Xenopus tropicalis: one gene and its partners. The main gene of each other region encodes a partner of the protein of the gene in region 4 in a complex. Links are inferred from orthologs where the notes say so. Each region holds a gene or a part of one and is shown on either strand. Other genes may lie near its edges. The genes, in order: fbxo11, ccnf, fbxo10, cul1 and btrc.

Region 1 (4,924 bases), on a different chromosome or scaffold from region 4:
CTTAGCATAGGTGCAATCTTGGCCATCTTTGCACTAATGCAGCCAACGCTTGGTATTGTGCATGGTGGTGATAGGTTTGGTGTGGCTACTTGCCTATGCAGAATTTTTCAAACTAAAAGTTCTGACATTGGGATTTTTATAAGAAGTGTCTGTATATTTTTGCCCATTTGCTGAGTGCTGGATACTTTTAGATAAGTGATAAATAAAAGTGAAGCATCAAATATGAAAGTAAAATCTGGTTCTGTTGTACACGTACTTGTCTAATTAAACGAATAATTCTTGCTTACACGTTTGCTTGTTAATGGTATTGCAGGGTTATTTTGAAAGCTGCAACATACACAGAAATAGAATAGCAGGTTTCGAGGTGAAAGCCTATGCCAACCCCACAGTGGTGAGGTGTGAAATCCACCACGGCCAGACCGGAGGAATCTACGTCCATGAAAAAGGGAGAGGACAGTTTTTAGAGAACAAAATCTATGCAAACAATTTTGCCGGTGTATGGATTACCTCAAATAGTGACCCAACTATTAGGTAAGCAGGGGTTCCTAAAGGCCAAGTTTGCCCACATATTACAGTAGGGCAAATTTATTGCAGAATTTCATATCTAGTCATGTGATTTTTCTATAATGGTTAAACTCATATTTACTGTCCCCTATAGCCCCCTTATGCTTTAGTTATGAACAGTTGCTTCTCATACAAGTTATGGCTAAAACTGTCTACTAAAATGCTGCCTAATTCTACAGGGGAAATGCAATTTTTAATGGAAACCAAGGGGGAGTGTATATCTTTGGTGATGGAAGAGGCCTTATAGAAGAAAATGACATATATGGTAACTTTTTCCTTTTTAAAGTTCAATTTTTACCTTTTTTTTTTTTTTTTAAGCGTTGTATATTAATCTATTTCTGTGTGTTACCAGGAAATGCATTAGCAGGAATTCAGATTCGTACAAACAGCTGCCCCATTGTCAGACACAATAAAATTCACGATGGACAGCATGGTGGCATCTATGTGGTGAGTGACATTTTCAGTGTAATGACACAGTAATAGAAAAAAACTCAGCCATGGATCCAGCCCCCTTGGGGTGTTCTAGCTGTTGGAGGTAACTACAACTTCCATACCAAAAAAAATGCTTATCCATGAGCTAAACTAAGAACTTGATTTTGACTTTTTCCATTTTACTTTTCAAACCAAAGCATGAAAAGGGACAGGGAGTAATTGAAGAAAATGAAGTATACAGTAACACATTGGCTGGCGTTTGGGTGACAACTGGAAGTACGCCTGTGTTAAGGCGGAACAGAATACACAGCGGAAAGCAGGTAAGGAAAGGGAATTGTTGGGATTGACTGATTTTAGAGCAGTTGATTGAAGAAAAACTGAAAACCTTGAAGTACTGTAGGGGAAACTGTAGGAATCACCGTTTTTAATTAGTGTTTCCATGTTTGCTTTTAAGGTCGGAGTGTACTTTTATGACAATGGCCACGGTGTCCTAGAAGACAACGACATCTATAATCACATGTATTCTGGAGTTCAGATAAGGTAAGGCGTTGCTCTTCAGCTTTACAGTACAGAAGATTGTTTTATGGTAGCAGATAGAGATTAATGTTCATCACAGTTATGCATAACAGCCAGTAGGATCTCTGTTCACCTACTGAAAACAAATTGCTGATTGGTTGCTATGGGTGACCAGATTGGTTTAATATTGAACCTCTGTTTATGAAATAAAACCTAGAATGTTAAAGTACCAAAACCACGAACAAAGTAAATGATTTTTTTTTTTTTTTGATTTGACAGTTATTCCTTTGCTAATTTTGCATTGGTGCATTTTGGTTTCCATAACTGCTCTTTGCGCTGAGGCATCTCAAGGCAGTTAGATGCTATGGGGTATCTGTTCTGTTACCAGCGTGGGGTAGTTTTTGTTGGCCAGGCTACTACCATCTTCCCCTCATTTCCCATGTATCACCCGTGCCTCTTTAAACTTCTCCCATACATTGTACAGAACCAGCCATTCCAGCTGAAATCTATCGCTGACCACTACACTTTATAAAGTCTTAAGCTGCCTTGCAGTGTTATAGTATATAGTTGGAAATGTTGGCTCACAAAGAATACTTCCTTGTTCCATTTGTTTGCAGAACTGGAAGCAACCCTAAAATAAGGCGGAATAAAATCTGGGGAGGACAGAATGGCGGTATACTTGTATATAATTCTGGTAAGTAGCTCTACAGATATATATAATGTATCAAACTCAACAGTAGAAAGCACTCACAGCTACAGCATCAATCAGGTCAGTGATTTATTTCAGCATACCATCTACGCGTTTCGATCACCACAGGATCGTCATCCTGATGACGATCCTGTGGTGATCGAAACGCGTAGATGGTATGCTGAAATAAATCACTGACCTGATTGATGCTGTAGCTGTGAGTGCTTTCTACTGTTGAGTTTGATGTATTATTTTTGTCAGCACCCAGCCTGTGCCCGATACTGGTGAGTGCCGATTCTTTGCAAGACGATATATATAATGTAATATATATATGTGCAGTTTTACTCCATATAGAGAGATCCTTAAAGGAGACATATCCTATAAAAATTAAGAATGTACCAGTGAATTATACTCCTCTTGATATAGAAGGATTGTGCTTTAAAAAGTTGTGTTTATGACACAAAAACACCGCTAGCCTTGCCCACCTGTTCGACTTCCTGCTGGCTGAATTCTCTGGATGAGCGGGGGAGCCAGCGGCCCTCTGTAGGATAGGAACCAATCAGCAGCTAGGCTTACCTGATAGGGAACTGAAGCCTGTCTTTGCTTGTGTGAGTGCAGGGCTGTGATTGGCTCTCCCCCTCCTACTGTGCTTCTGGCAGGGGCCGTTAGGACTCGCCCACCCTTCATTTCACACTGGACAGAGAAGTGATATGATCTATAGGGAGCTCCAATAAAGGGGCCATTTTTACAGAGAGGATTAATTTTTAGCACAAAGTAAAACCAGCACCGTATATTATTCATAAATGCCTACAAAATTAGGGTTTTTCCCATTTATCCAATGTCTCCTTTAAGCAGTAAATAAGTGCTATTTCTTTTCCCTTTCTTGTTCAGGGCTTGGATTTATAGAAGACAATGAAATATTTGATAATGCAATGGCCGGCGTCTGGATCAAAACAGACAGCAACCCAACCTTACGGAGAAATAAAATCCATGATGGAAGAGATGGAGGAATCTGTATATTTAATGGAGGCAGAGGTGATTTGTTTATAGCAACATTTAAAAAGGTTTAGAATTGCTCTGCCCCTTCTGCTTTCTGAGCCCTCTTCATACTGGGCATGCTCACTGCTTCTGCTTCAATTAAAATCAATCATTAGGCTCCTCTTTGAGGTCATCAGAGATGGAGAGAGAAGGGTTTAGAAAGCAAAGGGGGGCAGGGCTTCACACTATACAAGGAACTCTGTAAAAAGCTGCAGTTTAACTGCTTGTAATAGAGAAACAAAATAAATCTGGATGCAGGAAGAAAGGTATGTTATTCTGTGGGTTGTTTGGAATAATTTTAGGGAACTTAAAAATAAAAGGCTTACTTTTTCTTTAATTTGTAGAAGTTTTAAATACATAGTTGGATGTCTTTTGGAAGATTTTGATGTTAGAGAATGACAAATATAAGGATATAATAGCCTGTAATATATACAAAGAATATGTATATGTGGTTTATGCTTTGATATAGTCATAGAACTCCTCTAAAACATTATATATTATAGCAGATATTGTACCCCACTCCAAAGTAAATAGGCCATGGAACTCCAAATATCCTAGGTTTTTTTTTTTTATAAAAAGGTGTGAGTATCTGGAATTCTCTATAGAGAGCAGTCTCTACTGTACACGTTCATTATGAACGAATATAAAGAATATGGAGAAGGCAGACTCCCACACATATACAGTGAAAATGGAAACTCTGCACAATTATCTAAAGTAGAGTATTTATATGGATTAGAGCATTTTACTGAGAGCAACTCGTTTCCCCTAATCTCAGAGCAGCAATGCTGCAGAACAGTCAGGGGTAAGAACTAGAACTTACAGTGATTGTGATTTTCCATAGGACTCCTTGAAGAGAACGACATCTTCCGAAACGCCCAAGCTGGTGTTCTTATCAGCACCAACAGTCACCCAATTTTAAGGAAAAATCGAATATTTGATGGATTTGCAGCAGGTTGGTATATTGTGAAGGGAAATTTATCATAATGGTAACATTTATTGGAGCTTTTTGGCATGCAGAAATTTATTTAAATTACTTCCAGGTTATAAGTAGTGTTAGCTTTCCCTTACTTGTAAATAGTGACTAAGGCCATAGCCTGTGTGCATTGGACATGTGGGTAATGTTTAGCTTGCCCAGATGTTACGGCTTTTGACACCTCTGGATCACATACTGTAGGTGTGGGCAGGTCCTGTTTGGCTGCAACTGGAGACACAGGTTAATGTTTGTTTTGGCAATGTCACTTGTCTGAATGTATATATCTTGTTTATTATAATACTAATACCAGTGGCACTTCTGCACACATTTGCTGTCTTTATAAGGTAATGTATTATTACTGGTACGTACTATAATGGCATACTGAGTTCTGGGCCATTTCCATGTAGACACAGGAATGTTACTTTAGTGTTCCAGCAGGGGGCCTTCCTTATTCAGTAGCAGATGGCTTGAAATGAGTTGTCTTAAAGGATTCTTACTGGACCTACGCACAGATTTTGCCTGTATAATTCAGTCAATTCCCAAACTGAACAATTGCCCAGCAAAACAATTGATGTGGCTGATAATCATGTCATCAGTCAACATGGAATAGTACCCATCTACATTCCTTCCAGTGACCAATTAATCTGCACTAACATAAGGCCAGACTGTCCTAAGAGCGATCAGTTAGACGTAGGGTATTGTCTCTATCTGTG
Region 2 (5,641 bases), on a different chromosome or scaffold from region 4:
CCAGATATTGGTCGGGAATGTCCCTCGTTCCTGCCCCTACACGTGCCAATAAGCTGCCGAACCACAACTCCTGTACAGAACCACAACTCCTAGCATGTCTGGAGTACAGGACCTTGGAACTCTAGACAAGAAGATCAAAACGCTGCCCATTGGACTGCCTAATATTTATTTCCTATAGGAAGGACTGGGAATTAAGGGAAATAGAAGATTCCATGGGTGCAACATGGGGGACACAGTTTTACCCTGGTCACACAATATCCTGTGCAAGGGATCCTGTGTCCCCTGGCCTGCAAAACAAACACATTTCAATGCCTTTTTTCAGTTGTGGATAACCTTAATATACTGTATGCTGGTAAATGTTACAAGATTATGAGCTTTGCCTTTTACAATTTAGTGCTTACGGGCAGAGCACTTCCATAAGGGCTTTATGGGAGCTCATTCGCTAGCACATATAACATTTTCGCCCAGGGCAGTTATTCATAGCAATTTCTCATCTGATCAAAGCCAATTGCTGATTCTATGACACTTAGCTCCTATGTTAGTAAGCTCCATGATGCCCTCATTCACATGGCTGCAAGAAAGCTAGCTCAGTCTGACTCTAAGGGCTCTGGCACACGGGGAGATTAGTCGCCCGCGGCAAAACTCCCTGTTCACGGGCGACTAATCTCCCCGAGTTGCCTACTCCTGCCATCCCACCGGCGAACATGTAAGTCGCCGGCGGGATGGCAGACGCGGCGGGGCGATTTCGCGCAAATCGCCGAAAAAGACTCGTGAGTCTTTTTCAGCGATTTCCTGAAATCGCCCCGCCGCGTCTGCCATCCCGCCAGTAAAGTGTGCCTGAGTCTGAGCTTTCAGAAGGAGCCAGCGCTACACATTAGAACTGCTTTCAGCTAACCTATTGTTTCTCCTACTCCCATGTAACTGGAGGAGTCCCAAGCTGGACTTGGATTTCTTACTATTGAGTGCTATTCTGGGAGCTGCTATCTTGCTCCCTTCCCATTGTTCTGCTGATCGGCTGCTGGGAGGGGGGGGATATCATTCCAACTTGCAGCTCAGCAGTAAAGTGAGACTGAAGTTTATCAGAGCACAGATCACATGGCTGTGGCACCCTGGGAAATGAATAATATGGCTAGCCCCATGTCAAATTTAAAAATTAAATATAAAAAAATTCTGTTTGAGTTTTTCAAAAGCAGATTACAATGCAGATTCTGCCGGAGAAGCTCCATTAACTGATGTGTTTAAAAATACACGTCCCCCATTACAGGGTTCCTTAAAGTTATAAACTCACATTTTTCTAATTTTGCCCCTCAGTGTTCATTCAGGGGACACAGCCATATTGCTGAGGAATTGCCCTACTCCCGCGTATTGCCGCCCTTACCTGCGGCCAAACCCTCTACCACTGAGTTTCACCTTCCCGCCTATACAATATCTGCTTTACATTAGCGCAAACTTCCATGCCCCAAAAGCCTCAGATGAACCTGCACCCCGCCTCCCTGCACCCCGCCTACTACTGCCCTGGGTTTAAATGGCCCCGCCCCCTTCGCCAGAGCCAATCCGCGTCATGAGCGCCGTTCAAAAAAATACACGCTGCCTCGCTGAACACTGGGAGAAAGGGGCGTGGCTTTGTATATTCTTTTCACGGACAATGAAAGCCGTGATTAATGCGGGCAGCTTAAAAACGGGTCTTTGCAAAAACTAATAACATTATAGATTTATACTTAAACAAACAGGTACTTCGATCTCGGTTTTATTAGCGCCTCTACGAGTTCTTCCGGGAACTCAGTGACGTCAGTATGTGGGCGTGTTAATATCTGTGGGAACCGTTTAGCAAATGCCATTGGCTGGTTTCGCAAGAGCATCTAGCGTTTGATTGGCTTGAGGGCGTGGCTATTGTTCATTCTTCGCTTCGGATTGGTTTGCCCTCTCTGTGGGCGTAGCCCTGGCCTGAGTTGGGATATGCAGGCCGGGCACCTAATGAAATCGAAATTTGCGCTCTGAGCCAGGCGGTAGCACCGATTCCCACTGCTCATCTACCTCACCAGCTAATTGCTCGGCATGAAGGGAGGAGGTAAGTGTCTGACAGGCGTAGATCTGATATAACTGATATTTATGTTGCGATCACCAGTTCATACATTCCTCTAGTTTGCGCCTGCTGCGCAAATTGATGGGATATGTAGTTCAGCAACAGGTTTGCCTGCCTATAATGTATGGTAGAGACCCTATAAACCCTAGCGCTCCCCCGATCGCCTTCCCTGCTAGGGGTTCCACTTATGTGATTGTGCTATTCATGTTATATAGGAATATATATATATATAACGCTGTGCATTCCTGCAGGGAGCGTGTTCATCTCATTCCCCCCTGAGAAGTCACTTCCTGCTCTCAGCAGTTTTAAATCTCCCTCCAAACTCTGCCGAAAGTGGGAGGATGGGCGGCCGGGGGGGGGGGGGGGGGGGGGGGGGGGGGGGGTTGTGACCTTTAAATGTAACTTGTTTATAATGAATGTATGGCTTTATATATAATATTATACTCCTAGAAGTATAGATTTATAATAGCCAGATCTCTTGGCACTGTAGCTGCTGTAGAATGAATGAAATACTAGTTATCTTTTTCTTTAAATCCCCCTTAATGGCTAATTAACTACCTGAGATAATAATTAAGGTTGATCTGTAGTTTTATTCAGCTCAGTGTCCCCCATGTCCCTGTGTGTGTGTATTGCTCCCCATGTGGATTGTGGCTTTTATTTCTGTGCTGCCTGTGCTCTCACCAGGTTTCCCTAATGTACATTCATGGGGTACTTTAGTGGGAGCAGGGGGGCATTTTAGTTGATTAGTGTGTTTATTGGGTGTTAAGAGGTGGGCGGGTTTGGTTTGAAAATAAACTTGCCAGCCAGTAACTGGTTGTGGGTGGGAGGGGACACTTTCCTCATGATCCATCGGGGCTTATTTCCCAATAGAGGGGCTGCTGCCAATATTGTATGTATGTATAACTTTATTTATAAAGCGCCACAAGGGTACGCAGCGCTGTACAATCTTACAGAATACAAAATTACACACAGGGAGGACGAGTGATATAATAAATAAATAAATATATATATAAGTGCCATGTGGTATGAGACACAGTAGGAAGGAGGTCCCTGCCCCGTAGAGCTTACAATCTAATTGTAGGGTCATTTTCACAGTTTTCATCTCTTTTATATGAAGATCTATTTTTTAAAGTGATATTAAGTCTCATGTATTTTAATCAGGGGGTTTAAAATTGAGTTTCCCCTGTTGAATTACTGATGTATTTGATAGTCCTGTTTAGTTACTTTTACAAGTTAATTCAAATCTATGTATATCTATAATATCTAATGTTCTATGCACATTCTACAGTTGCCCCCACCAAGGCAGCTTTGTATGCTTGGAGATTTAAAAGATGCATTTTTGGTAAATGTGATAGATTGGTGCCAGTACAACTTAGCATGGAAAATAAAAGTGTGTATTTGCTTTTCAGATCATTTATATTCTGTACTGGAATTGTAATGATCACATTGGGGTTGAGATCTAGTAGCTGATAAGGGAAAGATTATATTTGAGGGGAGAGATAAATCAGCTTGTAATGATGCCCAGCAGCCACTAGGGGCTCAACTGAGCAGAATTCTTAAGCAACTCCCATCATGCATCCGTGAGGGATTTAAATTTCTGTCAGAGCATTCACAGACTGAGCTGCATGTTGTACATTTCTTTTGTGCCTGTTTATAATTTATATCAAATCAGACTTGTCCCATGGTATATTAATGCTAAATATTATTCTGGGAGCCAGGCTGTGTATCTTTCCTCAATGTTTGCTGTGAGTTTCATTTGTTTGTTTCTCATTAAGAGCACACAGAAACCATGGGTTTATTGAGCCCTATACCATTAATGTAGAACTATTGGTGGCCCTCCAGGTTGCAGCAAGGCTGTATTTAGCTTTCTCCAGGCACATTGTGTTATATAGAGTTTATAGAATCGGACAATTGTATATGGTGCATTTTAATTGTATGGTGGAAAAGTCTAAGGTTGCTACAAATGGAAGAGACTGCCACTGCTGCAATTGTCTGCCCTGAGTAGTAATGAGACCTGGGTTTCTTTAGGTAGCTGCTGCTGGCATGTAGTGTAAACCAGCCCTGAGTGTTTCTTTCTGAAAACTTAGTTCACACCTTTAGGGCATTGGTAGAACGGGTGGCTCCTCAGGATCTGCAGTCTGATCCGTTGTTTTCCCTTCCAGCCTTGCACTGCCGCTGCTCCAAATGCTTTGCTGCTCCTCCGAAGCGGCGAGTAAAGAGGCGACCCCGCGTGCTGACCTTGCTCAGTCTGCCGGAAGATGTTCTTCTCTATGTGCTGGAATGCCTGCCTGCTGTGGACATCCTATCCATGCGAGAGGTAAGATCTGCGGGGAGGGAATGAGCCCCTCATTTGGTTCATGTGCAAAATGTGTGTGTTCCTTTTTGGATGGTCAGTAACTACAGTATAAATTTCTGACCAAATTGTACATAACTGGTGTCCTTTCTTACAATGTAGCAGGGGGGCCCAAAGCAGTCTGGATTGTGGGGGCTGTCTGAAGGCTAATCAGATTAAATCAGAACCATGTTTCTATCCCTGACAAGATTATAATTTGAATTTCCCAGACTCTTTCTATTCAATTGTAGTCTACGGACGATGAGATTGTGCATGAAACTCTTACTTAGTTTAACGCTGTCGTTTAACAATGGGTGTGAAACTGTATGCCTTTAACTGCTTCTGACGGGCACACCGGAAAAAAAAAAAGGAATCCAAACAATGGATTTTGTGCATCAAGGGGATTAATGCAATTTGGGCTTTTGTCAAAAACCAGTGCAGCGTGAAAGGGTCAAAGGGGCTTATCTAATTGCACAACTTATGTATTTCAAAAATACTTTCACCAGGAATGAAGAGAAGGGGATTCACTTTAGTGTGAAGACACACAGAGCTTCTAGTAGCAGCTACTTTTTCATGGCTACAGAAAATCCCCTGCCATAGACAATACTGAGAATTGCCTCCTAAAATGTAGACAATTATCAGTAAATGATCAGCATTGTCTATTTTAGTAGCTGCTACTAGTAGCTCCATGTGTCTTCACCCTTAACTTGGTGACTCTATTAATCTGTCCTTTGGAAAATTGACAAAGTGCTACATGCATTAGGTGTACCTGCTGCCTTACGCCAGAGTATGTGTTAATTGGTTGCTCGCTGCTTACCCTGAGGGTCTGTACCCATGAAAGCAGAGACTAAAACTAAATCCATAAATATAGTTTTAATATTATTTTAAACATGCACGCTGCTTCATTCTTTCCATTGTTCCCTCAATCTCTTCCTTGTGTTCCAGGTTCATCCACATTTGAGGTCCCTGGTGGATTCTCACAGTAGTGTTTGGGCTCGTGCCTCTTTCCAAGATGTCTGGCCTTCTCCTGAAAACTTGAATCTCTTTGAAAGGTAAGATAATGGGTGACAGATTGCTGGTACCTACAGTCTGTCCCTCTGAGTGGTCTGTAAATAAATCCACAAACCCTGGTCACATGATGGCGATTGATATCTGATGGCAGTTTCTCTTTATTCTCTCTAGGGCAGCTGAATGCGGTAACTTCGAAGCGTGTGTGAAGCTAGGGA
Region 3 (5,419 bases), on a different chromosome or scaffold from region 4:
CCTAAAGGCTAAACCCAAGGGAACAAATCTATGTCCCAAAGGCTCTTGCTATCTATTGACAAATTTGTAAACAAGGCTTACTATATTATACTATATTATATTAGCGAACCCCAGACTATTTTTTCATAACTGTCTCACATGTTTCTTGCAGCCTACTTCAGCAAGGTAACCAGTTCAGCTTTAAAGGACAGATCATTGTCATATTGTGCATTTAGCACCACAGACATAAAAATACTATATAACTGCATGCATCTGAATTATCCTTAAACTACAGGTATGGGATCTATTATCCAAAATGCCTGAGACCTGGAGGTTTTCCGGATAAGGGTTCTTTCTGTAATTCGGATCAACAGAAAATAAGTCTACTAAAAATCATTTAACATGAAGTAAACCGAAACAGATCCATGCAGCTTAGTTACCATCAAGTACAAGGTACTGTTTTATTATTACAGGGAAAAAACATTTTTGAATATTAGAATTATTTGCTTAAAATGTACTCTGCGAGAGATGGCCTTTCCATAATTTAGAGCTTTCTGTATAAAGTATCCCATAAATGTATTTGTCAATGTCTTTTTTCTTTACCCCTCTGTTAACTCTCATCTAGCATGTATGATCCTAATCCAGCTAGTCAGTATTTACAAATCAAATAATAGATCTTTTTTTTTTATTCCCTATTCCTACAAGGTCACTACCCTTAAATAAAGCATTTTGTATTAGTGGCAAGAATGCAGAGCTCTGCAGTTGTGTCCACATATACCATCTTATGACCTCTTTTTAGTCACAGGGATCAGCTCCCCAGGCATGCGCACTAGAGACAGATCATTCTAAGACTACAACAGGGGTCGACAATCACAGCAATGTAAGCAGCTTCCTAGTTATGCCAAATAGGAGATTATAAGTCCAGAAAGGAATTTAGTTATGTAAAGCCTAACTTCACCTACAAAAAAGTAAATAAATATGTTGCTCTCCAAAACACAATAATCTAGAATGTAAGAAAAAAATCTTTTAAACTGGGCACACAACAATGATGTGAGGAGGAGGCAGGAGGGAATTGTAGCAATGAGAGATATTATTCAGAAAGTAGTTCCTTGTAAAAATAGTTCAGCTTCCCTTGTCTGCTACAAATGATATTCTTATAGCCTACTCTTCAGAGATTAGGAACTCTGAAAAATAGTTCAGAACTGGTCCAGTATGAACCATTCATATAGGAACTGTAGTATTTTATAATTACTACTATTTTATTTATTATCCAGAATACTGAGACCTTTTTTTCAGGTTTTTCCATAATTTCAAGTCTACTAAAAAATTCAAACATTAAATAAGCCCAACAGGATTGTTATGCCACTAATATAGATTCGTACAGCTTAGTCATCAGCTAGTACAAGCTACATTACAGAGAAAGCATAAACAGAATTAGAATTATTTGCTTAAAATTGATCTTATTGGATATGGCCTTCCTGTAATTTCTTCCTGTAAGTTCATTGATAAGAGATCCCATACATGCACAATAACATGCATCCCAATGGTGTACATGTATAGGACCCATTATCCAGAATGCTCGGGACCAAGGGTATTAAGGATAAGGGGTCTTCCATAATTTGGATCTCCATACCTCTACTAAAAAATCAATTAATTAAGGATTATTTATATCTTAGTTGGAATCAATTACAAGGTACTGTTTTATTTCTACAGAGAAAAAGGAAATCCTTTTTAAAATTCTGAATTATTTGATTAAAATGGAGTCTATGGGAGACAGGCTTTCCGTAATTCGGAGCTTTCTGTATAACGGGTTTCCGGATAAGGGATCTCATACCTATACTAAAATATACAATTCAGACATGAATTCAAAATTTAGGAAGTACAACTGTGCATTTTCTGTTTTACCTATAATTCAGAATACTTACAACCTGGGTTTCTGGATAAGGGATATTTCCATAATATAGAGCACCATTCCTTAAGGCTACAAAGAAAATTTATATTTTAAAATAACCAATAGAAATGGTTTTCCATTAACATGGATTTATGCTAGCATAATTGACATTAAGCACAACATACTGTTGTCTTATTAGAAAGGATAAGCAAATCATTCATAAACAAAAAATAATTTGCTTTTGGTTAAAGTTGGTAACAGTTTTGTTGATACTAGATCAGCTTTGTGGATAACAGATCTCATACCTATGCAATTCCTTGTTTTACCAAAATACACAAATGCCAATTATTTTAGTACTGAGAACAGCAAATCCAGAGAAATGGGTTGTTATGTTTTTTACAAAAATATAATTCTACTCAAATGTGTAGCTCTGGAAATGAGAAATCAAGCAAACAGTGACAGAGATGTTAGATGAGATATACAGATAGAATGTACCTGTACAAACAAACCATTTCTGGCTATACTTCCTAGCGCCACAAAGTCACATACTGAGTGTTAGCTGTGGGTTTAATACCACAAGGTTGGTTGAAAGTCAGGGCAGTAAAGCAATAATGTGGTGTTGTGTATGCCAGGTTCTTGGCATAATAATCTATAATTACAATAATTGAATAAAGTAAGCTTGTAATAGCAAATACACACATATACCTAACACACAAACCTTTATCTATATGTATTATAAATATATGTATATTACAATTATAAATATATGTATAATAGCACTTTAACATCAACATAATGTACATACGTGATTATACCGCACGGTCCCACCACTTTCTTCATTTGCAGCTAGCATAAAAGTCTGACTTGCCAGAAGCACCTCAGTTCTGTATCAGTACATCCCACAACAATCCTGTCGCACAGTCAGAGCGCACAGGGATGCTCCGGCCGGATACCTCAGGGAGCATTACATGTGCAGGTGGGGAGCCAGCAGTCCGTCACTTGTGTGGCATCTGTACGTTCCTGTTTGCAGATCCCATCCCATCCCAATAGCCTACACGTTTGCTACACTGCCCACAGGAGAGGAAATCATTATACTTGCCAATGATAAGAAGAGAGGGGAATCTGTTGTGATGCACTAAGTTCCCCCCTAGCAGCTACAGGACACACACAGCCGGTGTTGGTACTGCAGCCTCACAGTTGCTGCTGCTGCTGCTGCCAATGCAAGTATCCTGTGTGCTCCCGGCTAGTGCATGGGCTGACCATAGAGTACTGGAGAAATAGGAATCGCTGAAGAGGCCCCTCCTGTGGTATCCAAAGAATATAGCAGCTATTCACCAGCCAGACGCCGGGGGAAAGAGAGAATCCTGTAAGGAGGAGTCTCTACATATTAGACAAGCTTGAAGTTGCTAGCGAGGCCCCATGAGGGCCTTTTGTTTGGCAGCCTGCAAGAGACAGCATGGTAAGGGAGATGAGGGAGGGAGGGAGAGCAGGGAGGGGAGGGCTGTGTGAGGGATGAGGGGAAGGGAACAATTGCATCCTGAAGGGGTGGGAAACTGGGAGGAGGAATGAAGGCTTAGCACTGATAAAAAGGGGGAGTGGAGGAGGGTCTGCAGTAGAAGGAGGAAAGCAAGAGAAACCAAGTGTATGTCAGGGACCAAGTAGCAGGAACAACAGAAACATCATCTAGGAAAGGTAAGATAAAAGTGTCCCAATCCCCTTTAGCACAGCCTTGAGTATATCCATAAATATTGTGCGCCGCTCTATTATTTCTCCATGGCCACATTTCAAGCAGCTACAACATGCCTCTCCCTTCGTCCTCCCTGCTTCAGCATCAGTGCATGTTTAGTTGACCATACCGGGGCAGGGCTGCTTTAAGGTACCAATGGGCCCAGGGCAGGAATTAGTGAGTCCGACATCCAAGTAACAGAACTATCATAAAGCAAGAGAATTTAAATGAATATTATAAGATAGGCTATAAAAAATAGTCTGAGAATCAGTCACGCTGGGCTGGAGGAAGCACAATCCTTCCATAGACTGGAGTACTGTTTTTACTTGTAGTAAGCCTATGGAAGGATCACGCTTCCCCCATCCCAGTGTGACTGAAACAACTACAGAAGAGCCTTTATCCTGTAAGTATCGCTAGGATGGGAGCAGCTTTGCTGTACTTTTGGCCAGGGGCAGCAGAAAATGTTTTTGGATGGGGGGCCAGGTGGGAAGGATTTGCGGCCCGAGTAACGCCCTTAAGACTCCACCCACTTTAAAGTGTGTTTTCACCAAATTTGTAGAAAACCAAACATTTGCCTAGTCTGGTAACCCAAGACAAAGCAATTGTAAGATTATAATTGCAGTTAGCCAACAGATGGCTGGTTGCTATGTATGGGTTATATGACCTCAGCAAACCTGGCACCATTTACTACATTTCTGCTTAAAAGTAGAAATTGATGGAACAAGGGAGCTATATACCAGGTAAATAAGTTTTAGTTTATTTACTTTTGATAAAGTTATAGATAAAGTTTTTATTTAAAGAGGGTGAGAATAGGCTAATGTTACACATACCGTGTGGAGCATGTTTTTGGCAAGCCAAAATCCGCTTGACGAGATTACGCTACATAGGATTAAAAATCCTCCTACCTGTGTCTGCACCTGAATGCATTGAATATAATCAGGTGCGGGCACATGTAGCCGATATCTGCCGAAAATGCAAAGTATTCTGGATATAGGCTACATGTACCTGCACCCGAGTGTATTCATTGCTGGTGCAGGCACAAGTAGGAGGATTTTAACCGTATGTGGCGTATTGTCAGCAAGCAGTTTTTGGCTTGTCGAAAATATGCCCATACGCTACATGTGGCATTAGCCTAAGGGTTGCATTTTGGAGTATATGGCAGACAAGTTTTAGCAGCACTCACTGCCATGGAGACATTGCAGTTGTCATCCCCAGAACATTATATCAACACAGAAATGGTTAAAGCAGCATACCAACATATCTAGGTTAGTGCAGTCAGCAGAATCTGGCAGCGTAAGTGTGAGTATTGACACCACAAGTACAATTTATCCTGAGAGTTGGGAAAGCAGGCACTACAAGCACATTACACCATGAGAAGAAATTAATGCTAGCACCCAAAATATATTATATGCAGAGGCTGTGAGATACCCCAAGGACATTATATACAGAGAGAAGCAGTGGGTACTGATCCCCCAAGGACATAATATAGAGAAATTATGGCACCCCAAGCACCATACAAAACATTATATAGTAATAAGCAAAGGGCACTGGCACACCAAGTGCATACACAAGAACCAATGGATAACGGCACCACAAGCAGTAAGAGGCAGCGAAAACTGGCTCACCAAGAACAATATACAATTAAAACAAAGTGGGCATTGGCATCAAAGATATAAGGTACCAGTGGGCCCAGGGCAGGCATTAGTGAGTCCGACATCCAAGTAACAGAACTATCATAAAGCAAGAGAATTTAAATGAATATTATAAGATAGGCTATAAAAAATAGTCTGAGTCTCAGTCACGCTGGGCTGGTGGAAGCACAA
Region 4 (4,052 bases):
TCAAAGTGAGAGAGAAGAGACTGTTGTTAACAAAGTGAATAATACATTTAAGTATTATTAGGTCATTGGTTCATATTACCCATTGTGACTTCAACCGTCATGTCAAAAGAGACACCTTTTCTTGTATTAACTGCTATGTTCTTTCCCTTATAGTTTTATGTAGCATAATCCTCCGTAGGAAGTAATCACATTATCTCATTTCCTCAGTGAATGGCCTCAGTCCTTTGTAATGTTCCTAACTGTTCCAGATCCCAAACTATTTATGGAGGAACCAATTATACTGATTCAACTGCATCAGTTAAGGTTGTGTGTGTGGTATATGGATTTTTTTAGTTTGATTATCCCATATACATGGTGAATCTGATCAGCAGTTGGCCAGTTTTCCCTTGTAGTTGATAAAGCTTTGGGTGAAGTTACCTGATCCATGTCATTCAGTATGTATGCTGAGCTCTTAATTTCTTTTCTTTTAAACTTAAGTTTAAAAAAACAATAATACCAAAATATGAACCTGTATAACAGTAATTGCACTGTTGCCCTGCACTGGTACAACTGATGAAACACTACTATAGTTTAGAAATTCAAATATGCTGTGTAGCCATGGTTGCAGCCATTTAAGGGCAGTGATACACGGGGAGATTAGTCGCTGCACAACAAATCTTTGTTGTCGCGGACGACTAATCTCCCTGCAATGCCATCCCACCGGCTAGAATATAAATTGCTGGTGGGATGGCATACGCGGCGCCGTGATTTGCTGAAGCCGCCCGATGTTTCCTCTCAAGGCAACTTTCATACTCTGCGCGACAAATACGATTTTGTCGCACAAATTGTCACGCTTTTTGTCGCAAAGTGCGAAAAAGTCGCAAAAATATGCACAGTACGAAAACTTTATTTTTGTATTCGGAAGCAATCGTACTTTGATAAATGGGCCCCTATGATTCTTCTTGGACTGGCATAATTTTAAATTGATCACGTGCAGGCGTACCGTGTTACACACACAATATCATTGTGGGGAAAATCTACAAGGAATGCACAAGTCTTGTCCTTTGCATACTGGGCATGCACTACAGGGAAGAAGGTGTCTATCCAAAAACAAGAAAGGGTAGTGATATAAACCAAGTCTGAAGAATAAAGGGGAAGAATGAAGCACTTCACTACTAAGGATAATGATAAATACACATTTAAATGTTCCTTTATTAACATGTTATAATTATATGTACAACACTTTTAATGCATAGTTATATTTTCACTTTTAGGCATTTTAACTGATAGGATCTACATCACCCAACAGGATCAATTCACAAGCGATTTGGAATGCTCCAGCATTTTATCATCTTATGGAGGTTTAAGTAAGTCATTAAAGGAAGTTGTGGCACTGAAAGACATTTTATTGGGGGGAAATCCATAAAGAGAGGACAAAAATGTCTTCAAACAGAAGTCAGAATCCACATGGACTGAAACAGATTGGCTTGGACCAAATATGGGATGACCTGCGGGCCGGGATCCAACAAGTTTATACAAGACAGAGCATGGCAAAGTCCAGATATATGGAACTCTATACGTATCCTTATTGTAACTCCCATTACTTTCGTCTTACCTTCTGCAAAAGGCATAATTGATTGGTAAGGTACTGCTCAATGTAAATTTTTTCGCCAGATAAAAAGCCTTGGCCATCTTTTTGTCTTTTTCTGGCATCATCTTGATGACTAATTATTTAAAACTGTATTATTTTATGGTGATTGACATAAATATGTTTTTTAATTACTTAGTTTGGAAACATTTTAGGTGTAACTTTGTAAGGCTGAGTGTTGATTTTTTTATTCATTTTAGAAAACATCTGAATTCAAAGCCTGTCTACTGATTGTACTATGGATTTTGTTTAGAGTGCAGTTCACTCTAAACAAAATCCATAGTACAATCAGTAGACAGGCTTTGTGCGTTATGTTTTTTGTGTTTTTATGTGCTTGCTTTTAAACAGCCCTGTTTCCAAAAAACATGGGACACTAAAAATAAAATAAAAACAGAAGTGAAAGATCTGTAAATCATTTAAACCCTATATAAGCAAAATAGTACAAAGATGACATATTAAATGTAGAAAAAGAGAAATTATGCTGTTTTCAGAAAAAAAACCTTTCATAAATTTTAGGATCAGGGCACCAAAAGCCTCTCTGCGGCCGGGTCTCAAAGGGGAGGTATACACCACTCTGAGAATCACTGCAGAGCAGGCTTTGACTGGGATTCTAAATAGGCATTTTAAGTACACAAAGTCGCAAACAGCCTCCCCCCCCCACTAGCCCAATAAATAGTTATTGTCTATGGCATCTTTGAGCAGCCCCCCCGGGAATTTGGCAGAATCCACAGATTGCCAGTCCAGGTCTGCTGCACAGGCAAATATAGAAATAATTTAACGTTAAACTGCAAAACATTTGGTGATCATATCATCTATAGTACATAAGATCTCTGTATACATGAGACAAGGCCAAAAGCCAGTGTTAGATGGTTTTGACCTTCTGCCCTTCATATGGCACTGCATTAACAACAGACACGTTGCTGTAGTGGAAATTACTGCGTGGGTTTAGGAATACTTTGGGAACTGTTGTCTGACCAGAGTTTGTCACCCACAAATTTATAACTCTACCACACAAAGAAACATATACATACAACTTATTTAAGATGGACTGTCCTCGCATCCTCCGGGCTAAAGAGGGGAAGGACCATCCAACTGGTTATCAGCACACCGTTCCAAAGCCAGAATCCATTATGGCATAAGGGTGCATTAGTCTATATGGCATGCGTAGCTTGCACCTCTGGGAGGGCACCAGTAATGTTAAATGATAAACCGGTATGGCATCTGTCATAGCTTTGAATTATGGGAAGACCATCTCCTACTGACTCCATTTTAAGCAAACAAACATTTTTGAAAAGATTTCCTTTTTCTCTATAACAATATAACAGTACCTTGTACTTGACCCTAACTAAGATATGATCGATGCTTATTTGAGTGAAAATGATCCTATTTGGCTTATTTTTTTGGCTTTGAATTTTATTTTAGTAGACTTGGCAATCCAGGTTACTGAAAGACCTGGAAAAACCCAGGTCCCAAGCATTCTGGATTACAAGTCCCATAACTGCGCAATGTATACAGGTTTTGGAGCAATATATGCTGCCAAACAGCACTGTTTAAGCTACAGCAGTTGGTCTCTTCGATTCCCAAATGTTCACAGGGTGTTCCAACTTTTTAGGAATGTGTTGTGGCACCAAAGTTAAAAGGAGCATGTTTTTCAACATTTGATATATTGTGTTAAAACTATTTGCAATTAAGCATAGGGTTTAAATTATATACAGATCATTGCATTTTGGTTTTATTAATATTTTACACAATGTCTCAACTTTTTGGAAATAGAGTTGTAAAGGTTGGAATTGATTTAGAAAAAATTGAGTGTTCTTTGTAATGGGTTTGCTGTACTTTATGTGACAAACAGAGCCTCAATTACAGAAACAGAACACGGGTAAACATATCGACCCATCTTTTTCCCGTAAACTTTTTGAACAGTCTTTTTACCTGTATTTCTGTTTATGTATATTCTTTGGCTGACTTAGCCCTTTGAGTATTCTAACAAGGTTTACATAAGAATTTCAATATACACGCTTGCAAAGAGAATTTCTTCCACAAATGTAACATTCTTAGAATAGTAAACAATTAATTTTATTCTTTATTCCTAACAAAGAGAATAAATCAAAACAGTAAAAAAAATGTTGCTGGTCGGACTGACAGTCGAAAAGTTACTTTAGTTCATAAAATATTGCTCACAAAATTGTACTAACAATATCTTTAATATAGTTAAAAATATAAAATCATATGCATCCAAGCATTTCTAGTAGGTATTCCTACTAGTACTTCGTGCAGTGGGAAGATGGTTTAATATTGGTGTTTGCTGGACTTTTTTGGTTCAAGCCCCAGCACTGATAATAAACCTTTGTACATGCCCCCCACCCCCTTAGCTTGTAACAGGGGGGGAACCAGTAGAGGTAAACATCAGCCATTTAGCCATAGT
Region 5 (4,225 bases), on a different chromosome or scaffold from region 4:
AAGGACAAAAAGATACTTTCCTGTTGCGTTACGTTAAGTGTTTGTACCTCAGTTTTCAGATCATGCAGAATATTTAATAGTGGTTCACATGCAAGAAGAGATGAGTTTAAATACGTATTTACGAAGAGCGCTATGGCAAATAGGGCTGCCCGCGAAGATCAGAAGCATGAGTTAGTAGTCGTGTGCAGAAAATATACATGGTGTTTTGTGACGGTCAGTACAAGCGCGGTGACGGAAATAACCACCAAGAAAGACGAACGTACTGCTGTGCCAAGCCAAGGGAAGAGGGAGAAAGAAGAGGAGAACCCTCACTAGAAAAATAAGAGGAGACACTTAAATGGAGACACATACCAAGAGGGAAAGTGAGTTTTGCGCTATCCTTACCCTTGTGCCATGTGATAAGAACATCTCTAATCAGTTTATTTTTTTTCTAAGCTTTTAATGGCCCATAAAGAACTATACAGATAACTACAACACTTGATTTGGTACTATATGCAAAAAAAAAAAAAAAAGGAAAAAAAAGAAAAACTGGATATACACGCAAACACTGAAGAATGAAAAAATTAATGGAAAAAAAAAATAATAAATAAAAAATAACCTTTCATGCTTACTATGATAAAAACATACATTTTTATATCACTTGGGGGGGTCTTAGTCATCATCTTAAAAGAAAGTAACCCATTTCCCGCTTTTCACTTCACAAGTACTTGCAAAACGTTCAGCAGATCTCCGAATGGAACCACACCTTAAAGCAGCGTGAGCGTGGGACAAAAATGAAAATTGTTCTTTTGCTGACAGCGAAGCAACAGGAATCCTGGCAAGACATTTAAATAGATTTCAAAGATCTGTGACTGCTACAGTCTCTCAGGTTTCATCTCTAAATTGCAAGTTTTGAGTAATGAGCCGCCGCCACTGGAGTGTGCAACCCACCGCCACGCAATAAGTTGCAGACTCCGGTGACAATGACGGAGATACAAGAATTCTTCTCATGGCAGCAATCATGCAGTCCACTGTGCAGATTGGCCCGGGCTGCTTCCAGCTGCCTGACAGCAATATTCCAGGATGAGTCAGGATAATGGGTCTCTCTCTCTATATTTTTTTTTTTTCAGCAAATACTGGTCAAGTAGAATGTTTATTTCCCGGCGTTCACAGGTGGTTTAGTTACCATACTTCTCAAGCAAGTCCTGTAAGGGAGTAAACGAGAGGCAAGATTAAAGGTTCATCTATGTTTTTTTTTTACAAAGAAAGGACACAAAAAGCTACAACCAGTGTCAGATAAATAGAATGATATACTCCACTTCTTGCTTTTACATCCCAAGGGACCACGAGCCACATCTCAGCCCTACTTTGGAATGTCCATGTGTACATACCATAAGGGAGCCGGTCAGGCTGACACTTAAGAAGCATCTGATGTGCGCTGAACTCAAATGCCTGCAGCTGAATCCTAAATGTACTCTCAAATCCTCTCTATTGTGTTCAACCAACCTGACATCAGTCTCTCCTGACAGTGCATTTTTCCTTGATGTCAAGGCGAACAGAAGAAAGGCAATGTAAAAAGCAGAAGGTATCAGATGTGCACAGTGTGCACGAGATGCCTAGGGTAACATCCATCTGATGGCATGTGTAGGAGGAGATCACTTGCCAGCAGATATCTGGTAGCCTCCTGCTGATATCTGATGGGGTTTAAAATGCGTCAGATCCAAGGACACAGCAGAAATTTTGCACGTGTGAAAGCATTTACAGTGCTATTCCATTTCTTTCTTATCCTCTTTGCTGTATGGCTGTGGTCCTGTTCTGTAACTAAGTTTACAAGGTGGAAGTGGTGACTGTGAGGAGGAAAGGCAGGCCGCAATACAGATATCCATAATACTTTTCGTGCATCTCACTGCCCTTCAGCTGAGTTTTTAAGGAAAAATGACAGCTCCAGAAACCAACCCTTCCTCTCCATTCTGCTGTATGGTGTCTGCACTCAGAGGCACAGCGTGGGCCTGGGTGCAGACACACAGAGTGGATTTTGGAGTAAATATTCATTCTCACGTGTTTTGGAGCAGAAAATGCTCCCCATGTGTGGGTGCAGACACAGAGTTGGACTGGCCCACTAGGATACCAGGAAAACTCCTGGTGGGCCCAGGTGTCAGTGGGCCCTCCTGCTCCTGACCATTTGGCCTGTTTCATGCTTATTACCCATTTCTGAATGGAAAAAAGAGGAGAAATACATGCTAGCATGTAAATAAAAGAGACTTGGAGAATAAAGTGGTTTTAGTGAGGAAAGGAGGAAAATTAGTTTGGAGAGTGGGCCCATGGTCTAAAGTTTTTTGGTGGGCCCCTGGGGTCCCAGTCCGACACTGCAGACACACCATAAAGCAAATCGGATTGGAGAGACTCTAGGCATGTGCTTATATAGAGGCCAGAAAAAAAACCCCACCCCCGTGTGGCAGTAGCCTTACGGGTATATTTATCATGCGGTGTAAAAAGTTAAGTCAAGCATTACCGATGATGTTGCCCAGAGCAACTAATCAGCAATTAGATTTCAACAGTTAGAAAACAAAAGCAAAGCATCTGATTGGCAGCTATGAGCAACATCACTGGTAATGTTTCACTCCACTTTTTACAAAGCATGATAAATATACCCCTCAATGTAAATGTGGTCCTGGGGGAATGGGAATGTAATCAGTACAACAGTAGTGATAATATCCTGGCATGCACATATCATCAAGAGGGATCTGGGCACCAGAGCAGATGGAACCCAGTGGATTACTGCCAAGACAATCAGAGGAGAATCCCTTAAGCACTGGGATACTGTGAGTAATGACACAGTAGACTTGCACATTAATACAAGCTAAAACAAAAACTGGCCTTTAGGAAACACAAGTTAAAGAAAGTATTAGCTAATAATGGCCGACTGTGATCTAAAAACTCATAATCCCACACAAGATTTACTATTTTCCCATATTTTTTGCCTGCAAATGTAAAATGTGTCAGTGACAAATGACTGGTGTACTTAGCACTTCCTCCTACCCACCTGTGCAACTCTGAGGTACTACGTAGTGTCATTTATCTGGAGATGTACGTGTATGTTCTAGAAGGGGAACGCGTTGACTCTGCATGTGCAGCTGGGTCGTTGAGAAAATCCCAGATGAGGATAGTGTCGTCGTGAGAGCTGCTTACTATCTGGAACTCATCAAACTGCAGGCGGAAAACTCTGCCCGAATGCTCCTGGTAAACAAAGCAAAGATAATAGGGATAAACAGATATTACACAAGTTTATGCAAAGACATGTAACACATATACAGCGTTCTGCCTTCACCACACTGCTACTATTACCAGAAGAGGTGCTTTATCCAATTAAAAGGAGCAAATATATATATGGGATTTTTTTTATATTTTTTATATATATCTATATATATCTATATATATCTATATCTATATCTATCTATACCTATCTATATCTATATATTTTATACACACACACACAGAAGGTTGGCATTCATGTGTACATGATCAAAGTAAAGCATAAATAATGGAGGAATCTGCACTACTCAGGTCTTATGTCCAATATCAAAAAGATTTATTGAAGGGAGACTGACGTTTCAACCCACCTAGGGTATTTCTCGAAACATATATATACACACACCCTAAACAAAATGAAGCCATTATTTTTTTTAAATGTCACCTTGAATGAAGCACAATTGAAAAAGGACATGCTGTGAGGGGGAAATAATCTGGCAAAGTCCACACTGCCTGAGAAAGCCATTGTGTGTTTATGGAGCTGCTTTACAGACTGCAAAGTCGAAGACAACTCGCCTGCAGTGAGGAGCCACGATCTGTGAACCTTCTCCAACTGCTTACAAATTGAATGTTAGCTGTAGGAGGGTTTTTCTCATTTCTGGGAAAAAGCCAGAGTTAATTTGGAATGGCCATAATGGCAACAGTGTGGTGGGCTTTAATATTATTGCCTATGGGTCAAAGACATACAGACACCACTGCATTTGTGCATGTGGCTTTATTTCATTCAACATTATTAGAAAAGTTATAACATATGCCTATCAAGAGATATAAAATGAATGAAACAGAAGATATGAATTCAATAAAACTATAATAAAATTTTAAGCTATGAAACGGCTTTTACTGTGCAGATACCCAAAGCCTGAGTGTTACTAATTTTAGTGAATTTAACATATTGGGAAAATAAGGAATTGCAGAACCTCATCTCTCTTACTCGTTG

What was found.
Region 1: cul1 (region 4) and fbxo11 share a complex: the UniProt entries of both Homo sapiens proteins name them as parts of the SCF(FBXO11) complex. The link is inferred for Xenopus tropicalis from reciprocal best matches to the Homo sapiens genes CUL1 and FBXO11.
Region 2: cul1 (region 4) and ccnf share a complex: the UniProt entries of both Homo sapiens proteins name them as parts of the SCF(CCNF) complex. The link is inferred for Xenopus tropicalis from reciprocal best matches to the Homo sapiens genes CUL1 and CCNF.
Region 3: cul1 (region 4) and fbxo10 share a complex: the UniProt entries of both Homo sapiens proteins name them as parts of the SCF(FBXO10) complex. The link is inferred for Xenopus tropicalis from reciprocal best matches to the Homo sapiens genes CUL1 and FBXO10.
Region 5: cul1 (region 4) and btrc share a complex: the UniProt entries of both Homo sapiens proteins name them as parts of the SCF(BTRC) complex. The link is inferred for Xenopus tropicalis from reciprocal best matches to the Homo sapiens genes CUL1 and BTRC.

The regions. Positions count from the first base shown.
Region 1 is NC_030681.2:21,091,969-21,096,892, reverse strand, and holds part of fbxo11 (F-box only protein 11), read left to right. Parts: intron 1-313; coding exon 314-531; intron 532-743; coding exon 744-829; intron 830-916; coding exon 917-1,011; intron 1,012-1,193; coding exon 1,194-1,316; intron 1,317-1,450; coding exon 1,451-1,536; intron 1,537-2,129; coding exon 2,130-2,206; intron 2,207-3,091; coding exon 3,092-3,235; intron 3,236-4,079; coding exon 4,080-4,190; intron 4,191-4,924. UniProt on the Homo sapiens protein: Substrate recognition component of a SCF (SKP1-CUL1-F-box protein) E3 ubiquitin-protein ligase complex which mediates the ubiquitination and subsequent proteasomal degradation of target proteins, such as DTL/CDT2, BCL6, SNAI1 and PRDM1/BLIMP1.
Region 2 is NC_030685.2:22,528,382-22,534,022, forward strand, and holds the start of ccnf (cyclin-F), read left to right. Parts: upstream 1-1,994; 5' UTR 1,995-2,055; coding exon 2,056-2,068; intron 2,069-4,245; coding exon 4,246-4,400; intron 4,401-5,360; coding exon 5,361-5,467; intron 5,468-5,597; coding exon 5,598-5,641. UniProt on the Homo sapiens protein: Substrate recognition component of a SCF (SKP1-CUL1-F-box protein) E3 ubiquitin-protein ligase complex which mediates the ubiquitination and subsequent proteasomal degradation of target proteins.
Region 3 is NC_030677.2:109,016,919-109,022,337, reverse strand, and holds the start of fbxo10 (F-box only protein 10), read right to left. Parts: upstream 3,416-5,419; 5' UTR 2,676-3,415; intron 1-2,675. UniProt on the Homo sapiens protein: Substrate-recognition component of the SCF (SKP1-CUL1-F-box protein)-type E3 ubiquitin ligase complex. Mediates the ubiquitination and degradation of BCL2, an antiapoptotic protein, thereby playing a role in apoptosis by controlling the stability of BCL2.
Region 4 is NC_030682.2:55,203,070-55,207,121, reverse strand, and holds the start of cul1 (cullin-1), read left to right. Parts: upstream 1-1,252; 5' UTR 1,253-1,418; coding exon 1,419-1,558; intron 1,559-4,052. UniProt on the Homo sapiens protein: Core component of multiple cullin-RING-based SCF (SKP1-CUL1-F-box protein) E3 ubiquitin-protein ligase complexes, which mediate the ubiquitination of proteins involved in cell cycle progression, signal transduction and transcription.
Region 5 is NC_030683.2:30,625,491-30,629,715, reverse strand, and holds the end of btrc (F-box/WD repeat-containing protein 1A), read right to left. Parts: intron 3,217-4,225; coding exon 3,055-3,216; 3' UTR 3,023-3,054; intron 1,185-3,022; 3' UTR 1,095-1,184; downstream 1-1,094. UniProt on the Homo sapiens protein: Substrate recognition component of a SCF (SKP1-CUL1-F-box protein) E3 ubiquitin-protein ligase complex which mediates the ubiquitination and subsequent proteasomal degradation of target proteins. Recognizes and binds to phosphorylated target proteins.